2 linked regions of the Tamandua tetradactyla genome follow. The protein of the gene in region 1 purifies or fractionates together with the protein of each later gene. This does not show direct contact. Links are inferred from orthologs where the notes say so. Each region holds a gene or a part of one and is shown on either strand. Other genes may lie near its edges. The genes, in order: PHIP and CUL4B.

Evidence for each region.
Region 2: the proteins of PHIP (region 1) and CUL4B purify together in Homo sapiens (affinity purification with western blotting; 8 studies listed by BioGRID and IntAct, with this or other methods). This does not show direct contact. The link is inferred for Tamandua tetradactyla from reciprocal best matches to the Homo sapiens genes PHIP and CUL4B.

Annotation. Positions count from the first base shown.
Region 1 is NC_135331.1:135,416,653-135,425,514, forward strand, and holds the start of PHIP (PH-interacting protein), read right to left. Parts: upstream 3,651-8,862; 5' UTR 3,416-3,650; coding exon 3,376-3,415; intron 3,259-3,375; coding exon 3,200-3,258; intron 3,078-3,199; coding exon 3,048-3,077; intron 2,859-3,047; coding exon 2,799-2,858; intron 1-2,798.
Region 2 is NC_135353.1:46,083,424-46,093,175, reverse strand, and holds the start of CUL4B (cullin-4B), read right to left. Parts: upstream 4,232-9,752; 5' UTR 3,978-4,231; intron 3,351-3,977; 5' UTR 3,338-3,350; coding exon 3,277-3,337; intron 1-3,276.

The sequences.
Region 1 (8,862 bases):
AAAAAAATGAAATCAGAAACCTATGCCATTCATTAAGCCAAAGAAAAATACGACCTTCTATCAAATTCACTGCTAAAAACGTTTTAAATCTTGTTAGCTGGTAACTGTCAGTAATGTTTTACCAAAGGAAGAAATAACCCTCACATTATGTGTTTCCTTTCTCAATCACACTTGAAATAAATGCGTCAATGTTATTTTTAAATCTGTAAACTTTTAAAACTGCTCTCAAGACTCCATTTTCCTCTTCATCAAAATTCATTATGAACGTCTGTCAGTGGACTGCACATGCTGATCCATGCCTATTTTTTTTAAACTCACAAATACCACACACCATCCTAAATGGCTATAATTTGGGTTTTTCAAGGGATTTCAATCTGACATATAAACACTCTCATTTGAAAATACTGCTCAGTTTATCTATTAACTTAGCAACAAATCATTTACAGGTAGAAGTAGACACTACTGAAACCAAAAACAATTGCACTCACCAAAATAATCTTCAAACCAACGTTAAATTCAATAGGCAACAAAATAAAAACTTTTCTGAGTTCTAAAAATAAATTAAGACAACAGAGAATATAAGACCCTTCACATATATTCACCTGGACATAACATTTCAAGATCTACTACTAAATAATAAAATGTGCTCAGAAACCTTGCGCTCCAAAACATTTTTACAGCCAATTAAATCTCAATAAAACAATTAAATAGCATTAAACCAAGCCACACATTAAATACATATTTTGATGCATTTGAAAGCACCTCAAATGGCACCTGGCATACAGTAGAAACAGATTGAACAAACATGCTAAATGAATAGAAAATGAGTCAAAGAACTGTGAATTCTAATGAAAATTCTTAACTGTCTCATGAGTATGCCAACAAGAGATGAAAACATTCCAAACAAGAAAAACCACTTCCATCCAAAATAGGTGGATTTTGATAAACAACACAACTGATTAAGACACTGGTTACTGTATCTTAAGTCTGATAGACTATAAATTCATTTCATTCATATTTGAGATGAGAAACTTCTCTAAAAAGTTCAATAAAAGTCAAAATTGGCACTCTTTACTGGGAAAAAATGATACCCTACAAGGATCAGTCAGTCCCATAATTTGGCATATTTAAAATATGCAAATATACTTTAATATTGCTATTTATTATATTAATTATAAAGAACCTCAAGTAAGAGAACACAGCAATTTTCGGTAACTTAGGGTTTGTTTTTTAAGGGATGCAAAGATAACTTCTGCAAAATATACCTGTCCTAAAAATGGATTAAAATTATTTAAATGTTTTCAAATACCTAGGAAATCTTGGAAATCCACTGAAGACTATCAAATATTTACAAACCTACACATTAATTTCTAATGTTGCACTTATAGTCTTGCAGTTTACTTCAAACTTCACCTTGGCCAAGTACTGAATGAAACTAGCCTAAACCACTGCTTGAAAACTAACAAAGTGTAGAAATATACCGAAAATCTCCACTACATTCATTAAACCTAAGTTATCTTTGGTTCATCAACAACTTATATTAAAGCACAAGAGATTTATACACGTGCACTATATACAAAATGAAACAAAAGCCACCAAAATCATGCTATACCTTATGGAAGACATTCACTCTCAGCTGGCTGAAACTTGTAAAAGTGATATCAGTAATTCTATCTCAAAACTATCTGCAAATATGTTACAGAACGTCAGTGGACTTCATACATTTCAAAGGCTTGGTATGCCCTGATGGGATTGCTTTAACTGCCCAACACACATGTTCGTACAGTTAAATAGCAAACTTTATGTAAAATCTAGCTCCGGGATAACATTATCTTACATTTCAATTTACGATCCTTAAGCGATAGGTCCACTTTTTAAAGTCCATTTTTAGAAATTCCTACTTACTTCGAAAACCAACAAAATTAAGAAACAAGCCTTTTTCAAGCTATCAAATAATATATACTATCCAATACAAACAGAAAAACTTTTACTTGCCAATTTTTCATCCCACAACAAATATGAAAGGATAAAATCAACTCTTCGGTGGCCTCCAATAATTTCTATTTGGACAAGGGGTTTAGCACGAAAATTAGCATTTTCAAAAGCCTCTTAAACCTCTGGTTTTAGGGTGTTACTCAGGTTTTACACTTCTGTAAATTCGTCTTAGTACATGCAAAATGTGCCCTAGCCAACTATCATCACTAAATTCCTTAAACAACAAAAAACGTGGTCTGAATTTAAGGAAAGAAAAATAAACGGGAGAGGAAAAAATAAGAATAACGACTTGCCCTGGTTCCGCAGTTGCTGAATAGCCTGCTTGTGAAATGCTAATGCCACTTCGGAGCAGTTAGTCACCAGCTATTGTGTGGGGAAGGAGAAAGCCGAGCCGGCCGCGCGTGCAGAGCGAACGAACGAGCGCGCCCTCCCTCCTCCTCCTCCTCCTCCCGCCGCCGCCGCCGCCGCCGCCACCTCGCGCGCGCCCCCGCGCCCGCACGGACGCGCGCGCCGGCCCCTCCTCCTCCGGCCTTGCACTGCACAACACTCATGACGTATCTTTATTTCTAGCACATTAACAAAATATCACAAATAAATTGTCGGCAGCCCCTACGGCCCCGGGGTGCGAGTCCCTCAGGCCACTGCTCCCCGCAGCCCCTGCGCCGGCCTCCCAAACCTCCCCGTGGCCTTTGCAGCTTTCACGTTCTGGGGCCAAGTTTTTGTCTCTGTAAAAAATTGCGGGAAATTCAATTTTTATTCGACTCGGGGAAAAGTTTCTTTGCTCCGCGACGTGAATGTCTCACCAGGTTCTGGTAGGTCCTGGGATGCTCCTTCCCGGTCCAGTCGGTGCGCCGGGGCAGCAGCTGCGGGGAGAGCACGCCCCGTGAGCCCAGTCCCCGGCCCCGGCCCGCATGCTCCCCTCCCTCGCCCGTCCCGCGCCCCAGCGGGGACCCCAAACCCCGCGCCCCGCGCCCCGCCGGCGGCGGCAGCGGCGCAGCGGCCCAGAGACAGCCGCGCTGCGGCGGGATGCGGTGGGCCGCCGCCGCCCTTACCTCTTTCTCGGCCACCTCGCGGATCAGCACCTGCAACAACAAAGCGGGGAGAGTTGAGCCCCGCGCCCCGGGCCGCAGCCCCACTGCCGCCGCCCTCCCCCACGCCCGCGAGCGGCGAGCGCCGGCCCAGCCCGCGCCGCGCGCCGCCGTACCTGAGCCGCCTGCTGACAGGGTCCATCTTCCAGGAACCGGGCGATGAGGAAGTAGAGCTCTGCGCGGGAGAGAGGAACGGGGAGACACAGGGGCTGAGCAGCCGGACGGCGGGGGGGGCGGGGGACCGCGGGCGGAATCGCCTGGTGCCAGCGGCCCCGGCATCTCCTCGACTTACCCGATCGCAGCTCCGAGAGGCCTTTCCTCTCACAAGACATGTTTATGGGTCACTTCAGGGCCGCCGGCGGGGCACCCCGCCGCCGAGAGGAAGCGGGGATGGTGCCGCCGCCTGCCCTATAGCTGTCACTGTGTGTTCACGAGCCGAACCTCGGCTCCACCATTCAACCAACGGCGGCGGAGGAGGAGGAGGAGGAGGAGGAAACAACAACTCTCAGGCAGCGGCTACGGCCGCCGCCGCCTCCGCCGCGAATCCCTCCGCCGCAGAAAGGAGTCCACCGCCTTCGCGGCTTCGTGCTTGGCCGGGTCTGAGGCCTGTGCCCCCGCCCCCCCGGCGCAAAAAAGGAGTGCCTCCTGCCCCTCGCCCTCGACGCTCGGGCAACTGGATCGGCGCGACTCCCGCCCCTTCCTCCCCAGCCAAGGGTTCGATTTATTTATTTATTTCCAGTTGGAGAAGATGTCGGAGCCTCGGGTTGGCTGGAAGGCGCTTTCTCTGTGGAGGCCGACAGCGGGAGGGAGGGGGTTGGGACTGGCTCAGCGGAGGGATCTGACGCACACGGAGCCGCAGCACAGGCTCTATTCAGCGGCGCAGGCTAATGCTGAGATGGAAGTTAGTTTCTATGTAGCAGAAATAGGAAACAAATGAAGCAAAACTGCCCAAAGAGGGGAAATACCCCGAGGATGGGTCTCACTCTCACGCGCGCACACAGACACACGCAGAGAGCATTCTCACGCTGGGCAAACTCGGGATCGCGCTACCATCCCCGAGTTGAATGATAGTGTTTGGTTTCTGTCTCTTGCCATGTGCATGTGTATAAATGCTGCGGATTGGCATCTGTGTAAGTCTTACCCTGCGTTATTTCTGCAGCCTATGCAAGTGTTGTGTAATTTATTGGAGTGCTGTATATTGCAATAAAGGTTCGGGCGGTTTTTTTTGTTAAGCACTTGCATTTTGTAAGCCCGTTATTTGCTGAAGCTACCTCTGCATATTTTTTTATTACTGCTGTTTCCTTAATCGTACATTTTTTAAATGTTTTTTATTGATACTTGGGCAGAACGAACTCCTGGCTTGTACTTCATACTCTTTTTTTTCCTGATTACAAAAAAGGCCAGTAATGGCTAATTAGGGATCTGGGATTAAGGAACCTTAAAGCTCTTTTAAGTATTTACAAGATGGGATAGTGTAAATCTGAGGAAAAGCAAAGGACGCTAATATTTATCTCTAACTGATCTGGGGGTAATTTAATGACACATCGATAACCTACCAAAGGATATTGAAATACTACGTACAGTTTAGCCAAAGTGATTAGGATTAAATAATTTAAATTATCTGTGTATCTTGCAGTTGACTTCGTCATGCTAATTAATGGCTTCTAATTTGAGGTGTAAACCATTCTGTTTACATTTAATCACGGGAAGACTTCGTGAAAACTGAAGAAAAGAGAAAAAATAATCTTTTGTAAATTACTCTGTAATTACCGGTTTTATATGCTAAATCATACATCTGTGTTTTGCTGATGAGGATAAGGGCCTTGTTTTCTTAAAAACGAATATGGGTGAAATTAATGGAAACAATGGAAAAAGCCATTTGTTAGAAAACAAGGATACTAAATAATATTTATCTCGAAATGATTCAAGCACTTTCCAAAAAGACCTGAGAGTTCAGATGTTTTTGTTTTTGTTTTTAAATTGCATTTTCAAGTGAATTAGGTTAGTCCTTCTTTTGTTAATATTTGACAAAAGATTCTTCTTAAAACATAAGGATAATACACTGCACTTTATGGATCTGGTTTAAAAAGGTAATTTGTGTGGAAAAGACCCACAAGCTGTATTATGGTTTTCTAGGTTGTTTCCTCAAGCCTTGTACCTCCCAGCTCCTGACATTTCTAATGGGAAATACTTGGTGCAACTGGCTTGGGCTGCACTGCAAAACTGTAATGGTGTGGTGCCCTGTACTAAAGCATCCAGAAATCATAATACATTTGAGGAAGAAGGAAAAAAGCCTGACCCCTTTTAGAATAGTAGAATGTAAAAATTGTCTTTCGTAAGTCAATTTAATAAAATTAAAATGGAAGGTTACTATGACTTGACCATTCCTACCTAATTATCAAAATAACTGTTATTTATTGACATAGACTATGCTTCAAATACTGAAAATATTTGCATTTTTTAAGATATCAATTCCATTTTATTATAGGCAAGGTAGTCTGCTTCTAGATGGGTAGGTTTGAAAAGAAGGATGTTTTATTTGCCTTTTTAAAATTGTGTTTATTTCTACGGCAGATACTTTCCAGTTTACCGTAACTTTTTAAAAAGTATATCCTTCAAATAATTGTGATATTTTATGTTATCATGATGTTCTCTAAAATCAATAGATTTTAGGAACCAGAAATTATACTTGGAATTTTCTGCTCTTGAAATGGTTGAATTGGTCTGATTTTTACTAATAGATGTTTTATGCTTGAGAAGAAAAATAAATCAAATTATGATATGGAATATAAAATTACTCTGAGTAAAGTTTTCCAATGTATCTTATGGGTTTTGCAAACGTAGAAGACTAGCATGATGATCTCACGTATGTTTTTCATTTGGAAGCCACTAATCCATTTTCCTAAGTATGCTATTAGTACTTAGTTCCTAAATTTTTTTAAGGAAAATTTCCTAAATTTTCTGAATATGATGTTCCTCTCATTTTGACCAATATTGACAGTTTTTATAGTTTCTTTTTCAAATATCTAAATTAAAGCTATCTGTAACCCTGTCTTTGAAGTAATTAATAACTATCAATGTATTTTAGGAAAGTATAGATTACCTGCCAAAGATTAAAACATCTCTTACATTGTTTTTAATAATTGATGTTAAACTGAATTTTGCTGTCTTCAAATCTAACAGATATAACTATATAATCCATATAATTTTTAATTTCTTCAAGCCTAAAACACAGTTTTGAATTCTGACATCATCAGTTCGTTGCAGGGTTCATTAAGTCATTTATTGTGCATATGTATGAAGAAAGTGTATATGTATCAAATAGAAAGAAAATCTTATTTAGAAGTTCTATATTTTAGTTCCCATAGCAATGACACTTGCAATTCTTTTCTCAGCTAACTCTTTTGCATAAAAGGATAGTTCAAATTCTATCTATATCCCTTTCTGTTTGTGTATTTCAGGGAATTATTAACTTTTTCTTGACTTCAAAAATAAAATGTTAATTTAAAAAGATCTTCAAATTTTTCAAATAAAGAGCTCTAACAAAACATATTAAAAGTTTGGAAAGACAACAACTTATGGGAAGTTGTTGTTTTATATAATATGGTCTCTGGGAGAATTATAAACTTTCCTTGCAATTTAAAAGTTCCTGTAAAATTCACTTCTTTTTACTTGGCATCACATGAAACAAGAAAAACATTTAACAAAAACTTTTTGAATCTTAATCTTGATAAGCTCTTTTTCAAATAAAATAATCAAGTACTGCCATACAAGTCCTTTGTGGAACAAGGTGGAATACTGTATATAAATAAAAAGATTCTACCACACTTACGAAATTTGGTTTGCTCTGGTGTGGTGAATAATACATAACTCAAAAAAAATCTTTACAAATACCACTTTTGAATTATATGTTAAATCTTGTCTGTGTTTTGAAGTTATGCTTTTTTATAGGAAAACTTTATGAAATATGAAAAAGAAAAGTGGAAAACACTGTTCTTCAAAAAATACCATTTATACTCATCTACCCCACCAACAGAATACAGCTATAAAATGGGTCTTAGTACACCGCAAAGACTCCTTCTGACTCCCTCCCCAAAATTGTATCTTTTTGTTTATGTCTGTCTGACCTCATCGCTCTCAAAAATGTACATCCTTCCTTCTTCACAAAGCTTGAATATATATCAAATTTGAGGTGCATGAACACTATTTAACGGTTGCTAGAGAAAGAACAGGGATGACCAATTTTACTAAGCCATCCATTATTTAACTCTATTTATTGTCTTCCTTATATCTCACTGAAAAACCTTTTTACTTAAATTAAAGCATATTTCCTTGTAATCTGTAACAAAGGAAACTAGCTGGTCACCAACAATCATACGTCAATATTTAAATATTAGCAATTCACCACTCAGCTTTTTTTCTCCAAGTTAAATAACCCTAGTAGTTTAGATCTTAAATATATATAAAATTTGCGCAAGAAATACTCATCTTCATGGGTTTATTTATAGGTTTGTTTTTTTTAAAAATCCCTTCATGAGCTTAAAAGTACAATTACAAAGATTGAAAGGGAAAAGCCATTTCAGAACATATTCCCTTAAGATTTGGAGAGAGAGATAGTGCATGAAGTAGAAAAAGCTGTTCCAGATGGCAGAAGGAGAAGACTGTATGTAGTAGGCATATTCTATCATAGGAATGTGTTTTAGGAGTGGGTTGGGCTGAAGAGAGCAGTGGAAGAAGACAAGGTAGTCTCAGGGGTATAAAGGTGTGGAAGCTCTTTAAAGTTGCTGCTGGTGGTGTTTTAAATTAAATCTAATATTATCAATGTGATTTTTAGATAGAACTTGAGGATAGGAGTTATGTGGTCACTAGCATTTACATGTGCCTGAATTAATAAATTTCAAGAACCCCAAAGGAAAAATTATTTTAATTGTGGGCAGGGAAATGGGAGGTGTACCTGACAAGTTAGTGAGGAATCTTTGCAGAATAAAAACATTCAGATTCAAGGTAGACACTGTTGGTGAAGAAGGAAAACGGCTGTTTAAAAGAATAAGATCTGTCATCACAGTCCTGACAAGTGATGTGGGAGAATAAGGTCCAACTCAAAATTGAGAATTAAGCCAATTTAGATTTAAACTGACTTTGTCAAAAGTGGTCCTCCCATTTTCTAAATTCCCATAGGAAGGTCTGTCTAATTATACAACTTTGCAAATTGCCTTTGTTTTTCTTCTCTTATATGTATACTAGACAAAGATCCCTTATCCCTCTGTTGCTTTGTTCCCTTTGATGAGTATGCTCATGCATATTTGTTGAATTGATGATGAACTAGCTGGCCTGAACAAAGAATGAGTTCTATTATACAGTTCTAAAATTTAAGTTAGTGATATGACTTTCAACTGAGATTGTTCAAAATTTAAGAAAAATTTACACATTGATTTTGAGAGTACACCTACAAATCCTGTTGCACTCATAATTTTCAGTCTTACATTAAAGTGCATAGAAGTATACATGTAGATGGAATGTTATAATGGGTTTTGTGATGCTCATAGCATTACTATTTCCCTGTGACAGTTATCAGAAGTGACATCACTGGGCATTATTAGGGAACATCTTAAGAATATTGAGTTAGTGGTATCATAAGAAGGAAGAAATACGTTGCCTTTTTGTCCTACCATCCTTACATCTCTGGTTTGCATATGTTACACTTTACACTTGTTTTTGTCATTCGCTGTTTGGGGTTTTTTGTAAGTATATGTGTAAAATTTCCATCTTCCCTGGATCT
Region 2 (9,752 bases), on another chromosome or scaffold:
AAACAGCTCTCCATCAAGGTTAACAGACCACAGTGTGAAGTAAGTAAACATTGTGATTTTAATAGAGCTGATAAACCATTCTATTCACTTTAGTGCCTGAAGTTCACAACTATTTATTTACTTTGGTTAAAGTGTGTGATTCTAATGGTTAAAACAATTGGTTAAAACAATTCCTCCCCTAGGAATCCTCTTTTCAAATGCAAATTAGCCAGGGAGACTTAGTTCCTAACCCTATAAAAGTTAATTCATTTTGGGGAAAAAGGACAATACAAAAGTCAGAAATGTGATGAGGTGCACAGAACTAGGAGAAGCACTGCCTTGGGGATGGGTGAAGGGAAAGTTACCAAAAAGGGAGGAAGATTTCTTAATACAACTGGCTGACCTCACACTATTGCCTAGGGTCAATACTGCTTGGTGAAGATTGCATATTTAAAATTTTGTCAAATTTGACAGTTTAGCCCAGCTGCTAAAATCATGTTAAAAGAAAATTTAAATATTTTTATAAGTAAAGAGCAGATATTTGGGAATGTAAGTTTGGAGCGATCCATAAATGCCCAACTTCTGAATTATCATTAACCATATGGATGTTTCTATCGCCAAGTCATCTATTTTTCCTGAGTCTATTAAATGTCCTTTCTTCCCACCAATAGCATTATTTCTTTGGCCAATTCATTTGGTCATTGAACAAAAATGTATTGAACAACTACTCTGGGCATAACACCAGTCTAGATGCTGTGAGGAAATATAGAACTAATACAATGAACAAACTTTCCATATATGGTTGTTTTTATAATTTTAAAGTACTTTCACACAAATAATCCTATTCCATCTTCAAACCGAGGTGAGTCAGATACCATTCCTAATTTACAGATGAGAAACAGGCTCAGGGAAGGAAGTTAAAATGACTTGCCAAAGTCACAAAGCACAGACTTAACCCTAGTTCTTTTCTAGTTCCAAATACAGTATTTCCCACAGTTTACAGTTTAGTCAGGAGACATTGTCATAAAATAGTCTCAAGTAGAAGGCAAGTTAGGAAAAGACGTACTGAGGCCCACTCACCAGTGAAAAAAAAAAAAGAGGAATACTAAAATAACTCCTTTATTGCACTGAGCCAAATCACAGTGCTTAAAGGAGACCAAGCTTGGATGCAATTCAGGCCATCATCAAGTAGGTAGGACACAGTAGCAAGCAATACACATTCAAGGAGACAGTGCCAATTTGGTTCTAGGAAATCAGTCCATTCCAGGGCTGGACCCTCAGTCAATGGCTCATCTTCACAGGAGGTACAAACCAGCTCCTTCTTCTGGTCACAGCCAGACAAACACTGAGCAGATCTTGCTGGAGAACCCTTATGATCCTATCACTGAATATACAAAGACAACCCTTGCCCGAAAACAGTTCTCAATTGGCCTAGTAGGTGAGGCAGACAAATGCAGGATGGAGCTGACAACCACTGCTATGAGAACAAAGAGGAGGGAAACCTGGGAATCCTAGGAAGGTGGAATGGAGTGGAGGAAATGTGAGGGTGGGGAGTTAAGAATAACTTCCAGAGAAAGTAATTCAATCTAAATCCCAAGGAGGAGTGGCAATTAGGCAGACAAGGGAGGGAGCTGGGGGCACAAGGAGGGAAGACAGCCTGTTAAAGTCCTGAGGTGAGAGAATAAGCAGGCATTTACAAGGAGACAAGTTATCCGTGCTTGGCTACATTCCTAATCAGAAACTAGAGAGCTAAACAGAGATGTCAAGGAAGCATCGCAGTCTCAAGTCTGGCATAGCAATTCCTAGGCCTACTGTTGGAGCTGTGGCTTCTGAATAATAGTTCTTATCTTGAGCCAGACTGATTCAGGAAATGGATCTACAAGTTGGACTCATCTTTGGATATAAGAGCTGTGGGGCTAAAGCATGGGAAGTAAGACACAAGCTAACAAGATAAAACAGAGCAGTGGCTGGCAAACTATTACCAGTTTTAGAGCAGAAGCTGGCAAACCTGTTTACCAAATCTGACCCATTGCCTGTTTTTGTAAATGAAGGGTTATTAGAACATAGCTATGCCCATTCATTTACATATTTCCTAAGCTGCTTTTTTCTTAAAACAACAGAGTTCAGTAGTTGTGACAGAGACCATATGGCCCACAAAGCATAAAATATTTCCTATCTAATTTATTACAGAAAAAAATTGCTGATACTTGCACCATAATATATGGAGTGATAAAAACAGGAATATGGAGAATGTTTAGTGGTGACTTTTAATTTTGCTTCCTGCTCTATAACAAGAATTTAAAACTTTAAGTAAATTTACCCAAATGTAATCTACAGCTTACAAATGGTAATGAAATAAAAGAATACAAAAAGATTTAAATTAGCTTTCCTGTGGAGGAAAAAAAAAATCTCTAGAGCACACAGGAGGGTACCTAGAAAGAGGACTTATACAGACTCATCTGTAACCCAGATACAGCATTTCTCTGCTTCTCTATCAGGTTTTCATCAAGTAGAAGAAGGAAGGGAGAGAGGTACTAGGCTAGAGTCCCAGACCCCTGGAAACCTCTGTCTCTTTTTATTTTTTAGCTTTGGTATTTTTAAGCATAAATGATATCATACCATACATATATATCTACAATTTGCCTTTTTCACTTAATGTATATTGGAGATCTTTACATGACGGTACCTAGAAATTTACCTCATTCTTTTTTACAATTTGCATACTAATTCATAGTAAATAAATACAACATGTCATTTAACTAGTCTCCTATTTTTGGACATTTGGTTATTTCCCTTTTTGCTACTACCAGCATGCTGCAATAAACATGCTATAACATATATCTTTGTGCATGTGTGAAAGTATTACCAAGGATTTTTTTGAAGAAATGGAATCGGGTCAACTTCAGAATGACTGTTGACTGTCCCGCATCTTTAGCACCACTAATATTATCAAACTTTTATATTATAACACTAATATTAGCAAAATTTTATACTATTATCAATATCATCAAACTAAGTATTATGAAACTTTAAAAGTTTTGCCAAAATAGTATATGAATTCATTCTCACTGTAAAACAACAACTATAAAGCAAAAGCAGAAGTGCCCTTCTTGACCACCATCCCGTAATCCCTACTCTGTCTGGGGGAATTTATTTCCACCTTGTTATTAAATTCTTATTGTTTTATGCCTTGATCTTCATAGGAATAATTTCTTAATAATTTCTTCAAGATTCCTGGACATACTGTTAACAATTATTTAGACTTAACTCTAGGTTTTACTTAGTTGATTTACTCACCATTGTCTTCTGGGATCTCCCCATCATCACGCGTATTCCCTGATCCAGATGTCTGTGACATCCTGTCTTTTGGGCTGTATTAAAAAACAGAGAATTCACTTTTAAAGCAGTCTTCTCCCATATGGTGTTATGAGTTCACTGACTATGGTTTCTCAACCAGTTTTATCCTATTGGTTTCATATCTTCAAGATGATCCTCAACATTTTAGTCTGCTAATCACCCTTCTCTGTTACCACTTGTAGTTATGGCTCTATTCTTATATTTTTTTCTTTCATTTAAATATAATTTTAAGAGGAAAACACGTTTGTTCAGACTGACATCTCAAATTGAAAGTCAAACGTTTCCTTTTAAATCCCCAAACTACAATGACTTGAGCCCCGACCTCCACACCACCCCCGCTTGAATGCCAAAAATTAGACTTCCCTCAAAACTATTTCTAAGGGTTCTCCACATATGATCAGAACCAGATCGCTAATTTTCTTCCTCCTCAGGCTTCAGCGCTTTTGTCCCTGTTCTTGAGGGACCTCTTGTTATCACCACTTTGCCGGATAGTGCTTTCTCCACTAATGACAATGATTATACTGGGCTTTTTCCTAAATTCTCCACATCACAGATGAAGAAAGACTATATCTTTTAATGTATTTCTACTATACATTTGGGAATAACATAAGAAAATACAACATAGGGAATAACTTAAATACCTCAAGATATGGCTTCATTTAGAGTCGGTAGGCCCAAGTCCAGACCCACTTTCAGTTGGTTCTTAAACGGTACTCTAACCGCCTTTCACAATCTCAAAGGGGTGCTTAGCTCACCATCACATGAGGACCAACAGGGCATCTTTATTGTTGATCTATGAAAAGTCCGATCTCTAAAAACCTGACGGATCAGCCAGGACCGTTCACAAACAAGTACCCTTACAACTTGAGGTCGCCCTTCGACCTAAGCTCCGCCCACAGAGGCTCGATTTCCGGTTCACTTAATTGTTTTCTAAGATGATTGACAGTAGATCTGACCAATTATTTCAGGGGTAACCCCACTTGTCTAACAGGCACCTGTTGGTGCCAAATACAAAAAACCAAAACCTCAAAACGATCTGGTATGGGTACATTTCTAAGGTCTGGTTTATTCTATCTTTGATAATACCGCCTATGAGACATCTGCAGGCAAGCCAGGGTTGTTCTTGTGCCAAGACTAGCCTAGTTCCTTTTCACACTATGTTTTCTGCAGTCCTCTCTGTCTCATCGCCTCGTCTTATGCTACCAATTGCCGGAACAATAACATACTTAACTTCATTCGACAAACAGTGATATACAGGCATGGATCTGTCTAAACAGGTATGGGGAAAATGATAACCATTTCTCCCCAAAGATCAACAAAGTCTTCAGAGACATAGTTTATCATCTGACCACAAATTCTAGTCCAAAATATTTACAGTCGTTGCTTCATTCAACTGGGTTGGATCTGATGATGTCTGTTGAATTTACATTATGAAATGGCATGTAGAGAACTCGTTTTTCTCCAGAACAAAGAGATAGTTTGCTCCAAATTTAAGTTGCAATCTCACTTAGGAGGCATTAACATTTTTTAAAAATGTATTTATCCCAGCATAGAAGTGTGATATACAAATAATCATATCAAGAGCAATGACACTCATAAAAATCAATCAAGGTGCTAGCCATCTTTTTGTAAATATCTCAGTAGACAAAAAATAACAACACTTTGCGATTAACAAGGTTATAGATGCCCCTGATCCATTTGTAAAGAGGCAAATTCAATTTTTCATTGTGACTTTATGACTTCAAGTTAATAGAGTTTTATGAATGGGCTTTTATTGACTTGCAACTTTTAATTTTTATTTAAATTTAAAAATTTACTTATCCTTCTTATTTTGCGATAATTGTAGATCCAGACGCAGTTGTAAGAAATAATACAAGGAGCTGTCTTGTACCGTCTAGCCAGTTTCCCACAATGGTGACATCTTGCAAAACTGTAGTACAATATCACAATCAGGATATTGGCATTGCTACTATTAAGATACAGGACAGTTCCATCAATGCAAGGATCCTTCTTAATTAATGTCCCTTTTTATTTTTGCTTATGTTGTTTAATTTTATATAGTATTTGCTTTCCATAAAGTTTGCTTTGGAGGTATGTTCTCTCTGCTTACAATAATAGATCCTATAAAAATAGGCATACAGTATTTTTTTCATGAAGAGCATTGCCCACTATAATGCTTGGTATGAGGGTCCATGGAGGAGCTTCTCCCAGACTGTTTTGTATACAATCATATTTATTTCATATAAAATTTACTACTTGTAATTTATTGTTTCCTTTGTTGCTTTGGCCACTAGAAAACTCTGAATCATATATGCATTTCTACTTCAGTACTGCATATGTTATTTTATTATTTAATATTTTTAATTAGAGAAGTTGTAGGTTTACAGAAAAATCATGTAAAAATACAGCATCCCTATGTACACCCCCCATTATTAACACTTTGCATTAGTTTGGTATCTTTGTTACAACTGGTGAAAGAATATTATAACTGTATTATTAATTATAGTCCATCATTTATATTAGGTGTATTTTTCCTCTTATACCACCCTATCAGTAACACCTTGCATTAGTGTGGCATATTTGTCATAATTTATAAAAGAATATCTTTATAATTGTACTATTAACTATAGTCCATAGTTTTCAGTAGGGTTGTACAGTCCTATGTTTTATCTTTTAATTTTTATTCTAGTAACATATATATGACCTAAAATTTCCCCTTTTAACCACATTCATATATATAATTCAGTGCTGTTAATGTTGTGCTACCATTACCACCCTCCATTTCTAAAACTTTACTATCAACACAAATATAAATTCTGTACAAATACATATTATAGCCACTCCCACATTCCTTCTCTCCCCTCCCTCTTGAACCCCTAGTAACTCCATTCTGTTCTTCATTTTTATAATTTTGTTGTTTCAAGAATGTTATTTAAATCTGTAAACTTTTAAACTTTTATAGTCCCACCATCAGTGTATGAGTTGATGCAATTTTTCTGCACCCTATTTAGTATTTGGTGTTTGAGTCACAATTTTTGCATTTTAGCCATTTTGATAGGCGTGTAGTACCAAATTTTTGACATTTTCAGTCAAATTCACATATCCTTTTCAATCTGCCCTCCCTTTTCTGAGCTCCTATGACATAAACATCAGATCTTAGGGAATTAAGGGGCTTGTCTCTTGGAGCAGTGAAAGGTGGGGAGGAAATGCTGCTGTCATAAGAGCCTGCTTTAGGCCTCTGAGTTTAAACATGACCTCTCAACCCTGTGCATGGAATTTTTAGAAGACCCGATAGGACCAAGGCCTTGTCTCTGGGCATTGTAATTGGCATCAACAGAGACCCTATTGTTCACTATGTATGGTTCTGCAGAATGTGCCCTGCACCAGCGTGTTTGACTGAACAGGTAGGAGTGGGGAAATGAAATCCAGCTAGTTAACCTAGCCTTGTGTCCTAAAGCAAGAGAAAGACAAGCTTTTGTAACTGGTCTGTCCAAAGGGGTGACTTTTTTTTTTAACTAACCGTACCCAAGAGGACACTCTTTCTTTTGCAATTTTTCTGCTTCAAGTATCATGCCTTTTTCTAATTTGCTCTTGAGGGGCCCTGTGTACACATTGCAACCCTAAAAACAATAAGAACAATTGAAAAAATTAAATATGCAAATCTGGGTTTTGTAAAAGACCACTTTGATTGTAAAAAGCAGCAGATTAGTGGCAAAAGTCAAAGTAGGGAGCTCAATTAGAAGGCAATTACTATACTCCTGGTGTAAATGCAGATATCTTAGAGATGGTGGGACTGGCAGAGATCAAGAGAGTAGAAGCAAGTTTGAGGAGATTTTGGTAGGTAAAATTGATAGGGTTTCAGGATGGGTTGGACATAGACATGAGGGAGAGGACGTAGTAAGGATGATTCCATGATTTCTGGCTTGTACAAGTGGATAGATGATAGTGATATTCACTGACATAGAGAATCCTGGGAGAGGATCAAGTTTTTGCTTCAGTTTTAGGGGGTTGGGAAGGAAGAAAGAGTTTGGTTTTGGAAATGTTGAATTTGAGGTGCTTTTGAAACATCCAAGAGGCATAGTAGGTGTATTAGACAGGGTTCTCTAGAGAAACAGAATCAACAGAAGATAACCTGAAAATATGAGATATTTATAGAAATTGTTTCATGTGATTGTTGGAATTTGCACGTCCAAATTCCATAAGTCAGGCTGCAAGCTGGGAACTGTGTTGAAGGTTTTTGATGAATTCCCCAAGAGAAGCTGGCCAGCTGCCAAAGACATGGAAATTCTCCGTCCTGACTGCTGAAATCATCACTTCTTTTAAAGCCTTCAACTGATAGGATGAGACTTCTCTCATTGCTGAAGGCACTCTTTTTGGTTGATTGTAGATGTAATCAGACATAGATGTAATCAACTTACTGATGACTTAAGTCCACAAAATGTCCTCACAGGCCAGTGCTTGCTTGACCAAACAACTGGACACCATCAACTGGCCAAGTTGACACATGAACCGGCAGCCATACAGATCAACATAAATCAGACTTAATCACTAAATAACAATTAATATCAGTCATATTTTTGCCTAACAATGCTCACTTGTCCTGCATACAACTGGAAACACACTAACTCTCTCCAGAATATGGTGGAAGCCCTTGGGTATATTCATGTAAATATAACAACATGAAACTAATACAACTTTTGTTGTGTGATAAGGGGATAAGATAGGGAAGACAACAATTATATTTACTTTATGTTCATGTGGAAATATAACAAGACAAGGAAGAAATATTCATAACTGTGATATTCCTCATTTCTGTAACTGGTCATGTGGTCATAGTCTGTATTTATCACTAGCTTCTTCTACTACCATTTCCAAATAACCCTTACCCTGAGGGAAGCATCTCAGCTGGTTCTGACTCATTGCTTGGTGGGATGAGCAAAGTGTTATTCCTGAAGTTTCTGGGCCATTGGTATTCCTAACTGGTGCTGTAAATGAGTCTTCAAAAGGCCATTCCATGATTCTATCAATCCAGCTGCCTTAACATGAAGGGTTACATGGTAAGACCAGTGAACTCCATGAGCATGGGCCCATTTCTTCACTTCATTTGCTGTGTATATGTTCCTTTATCAGAAGCAATGCTGTATAGAATACCATGATGGAGGATAAGGCATTCTATAAGTCCATGAACGGTAGTTTTGCCAGAAGCATTGTATGCAGGGAAGGCAAATGCCTATCCAGAGTATGTGTCTATTCCAGGTACCACACGCTACCTCTTCCATGATGGAAGTGGTCCAATGTAATCAACCTGCTATCAGGCAGATCACCTTGGGAATGGGCCAAATTGAGGACAGAGTGTTGGTCTCTGCTGCTAAGAGATCGGACATGCAGCAGTGGCCATAGCCAGGTCAGCCTTGGTGAGTGAAAATCCATGTTGCTGAGCCCATCCATAACCTCATCCCTACCACCATACTATGAGCCCATTGGGCAATGACAGCAGTAGCTGTGGAAAGAGGCCAATTGGTTTCCACAGAATGGATCATCTTATCCATTTGATTATTAAAGTCTTCCTTTGCTGAATGAACTCACACTCTGGTGAGCATTCATGTGGGATACAAATATCTTCATGTTTTTTGCCCACTCAGAAAGGTCTATTTACATACCTCTTCCCCAGACCTCTTTGTCATCAATTTTCCAGTCATGTTCTTTTAAGTCCCTGACCATCCAGCCAAACCGTTAGCGACAGCCCATGAATCATATACAAATGCCCCTCCAGCCATTTCCCCTTCCAAGCAAAATGAACAACCAAGTGCACTGCTTGAAGTTCCACCCACTAGGAGGATATCCCCTCACCACTGTCCTTCAGGGATAACAAGAAAAGGGCTGCAGTGCTGCAGCTGTGCACTTTCATGTGGTACCCACATATTGTGCAGAACCTCCTGTAAACCAGGCCAGAGTTTTCTCTTCCTCAGTCAGCTCACTGTAAGGAACTCCCCAAGAGGCCATAGCTGTGGCTGGAAAGAGAAGGTAATGTGGCAGGAGTGGGGGCCATAGGCTTTTGGGCCTTTCATTATGTGACTTACTTGAGTCTTCAGGACCTGCTCTGGCCCTATCTCACATATACCACTTCCATTTTATGATGGAGTACAGTTGTACATGCCTAACTTTATGGCTTGGTGGGTGAGACAACAGTCAGCTCATAATAGACAACTCAGGTCTCAGGGTAACTAAGCGTTCAGTCTCTACTAAGGCCCCGTAGCAGGCTGAAAGCTGTTGGTCAAAAGGAGAGTAGTTATCTGCAGAAGATGGCAAGACTTTGCTCCAAAATCCTAAGGGCCTGCATTGTTTTTATCCTATAGGAGCCTGCCAAAGGCTCCAGACAGCATCTCTATTTGTCACTGACACTTCTAGAACCACTG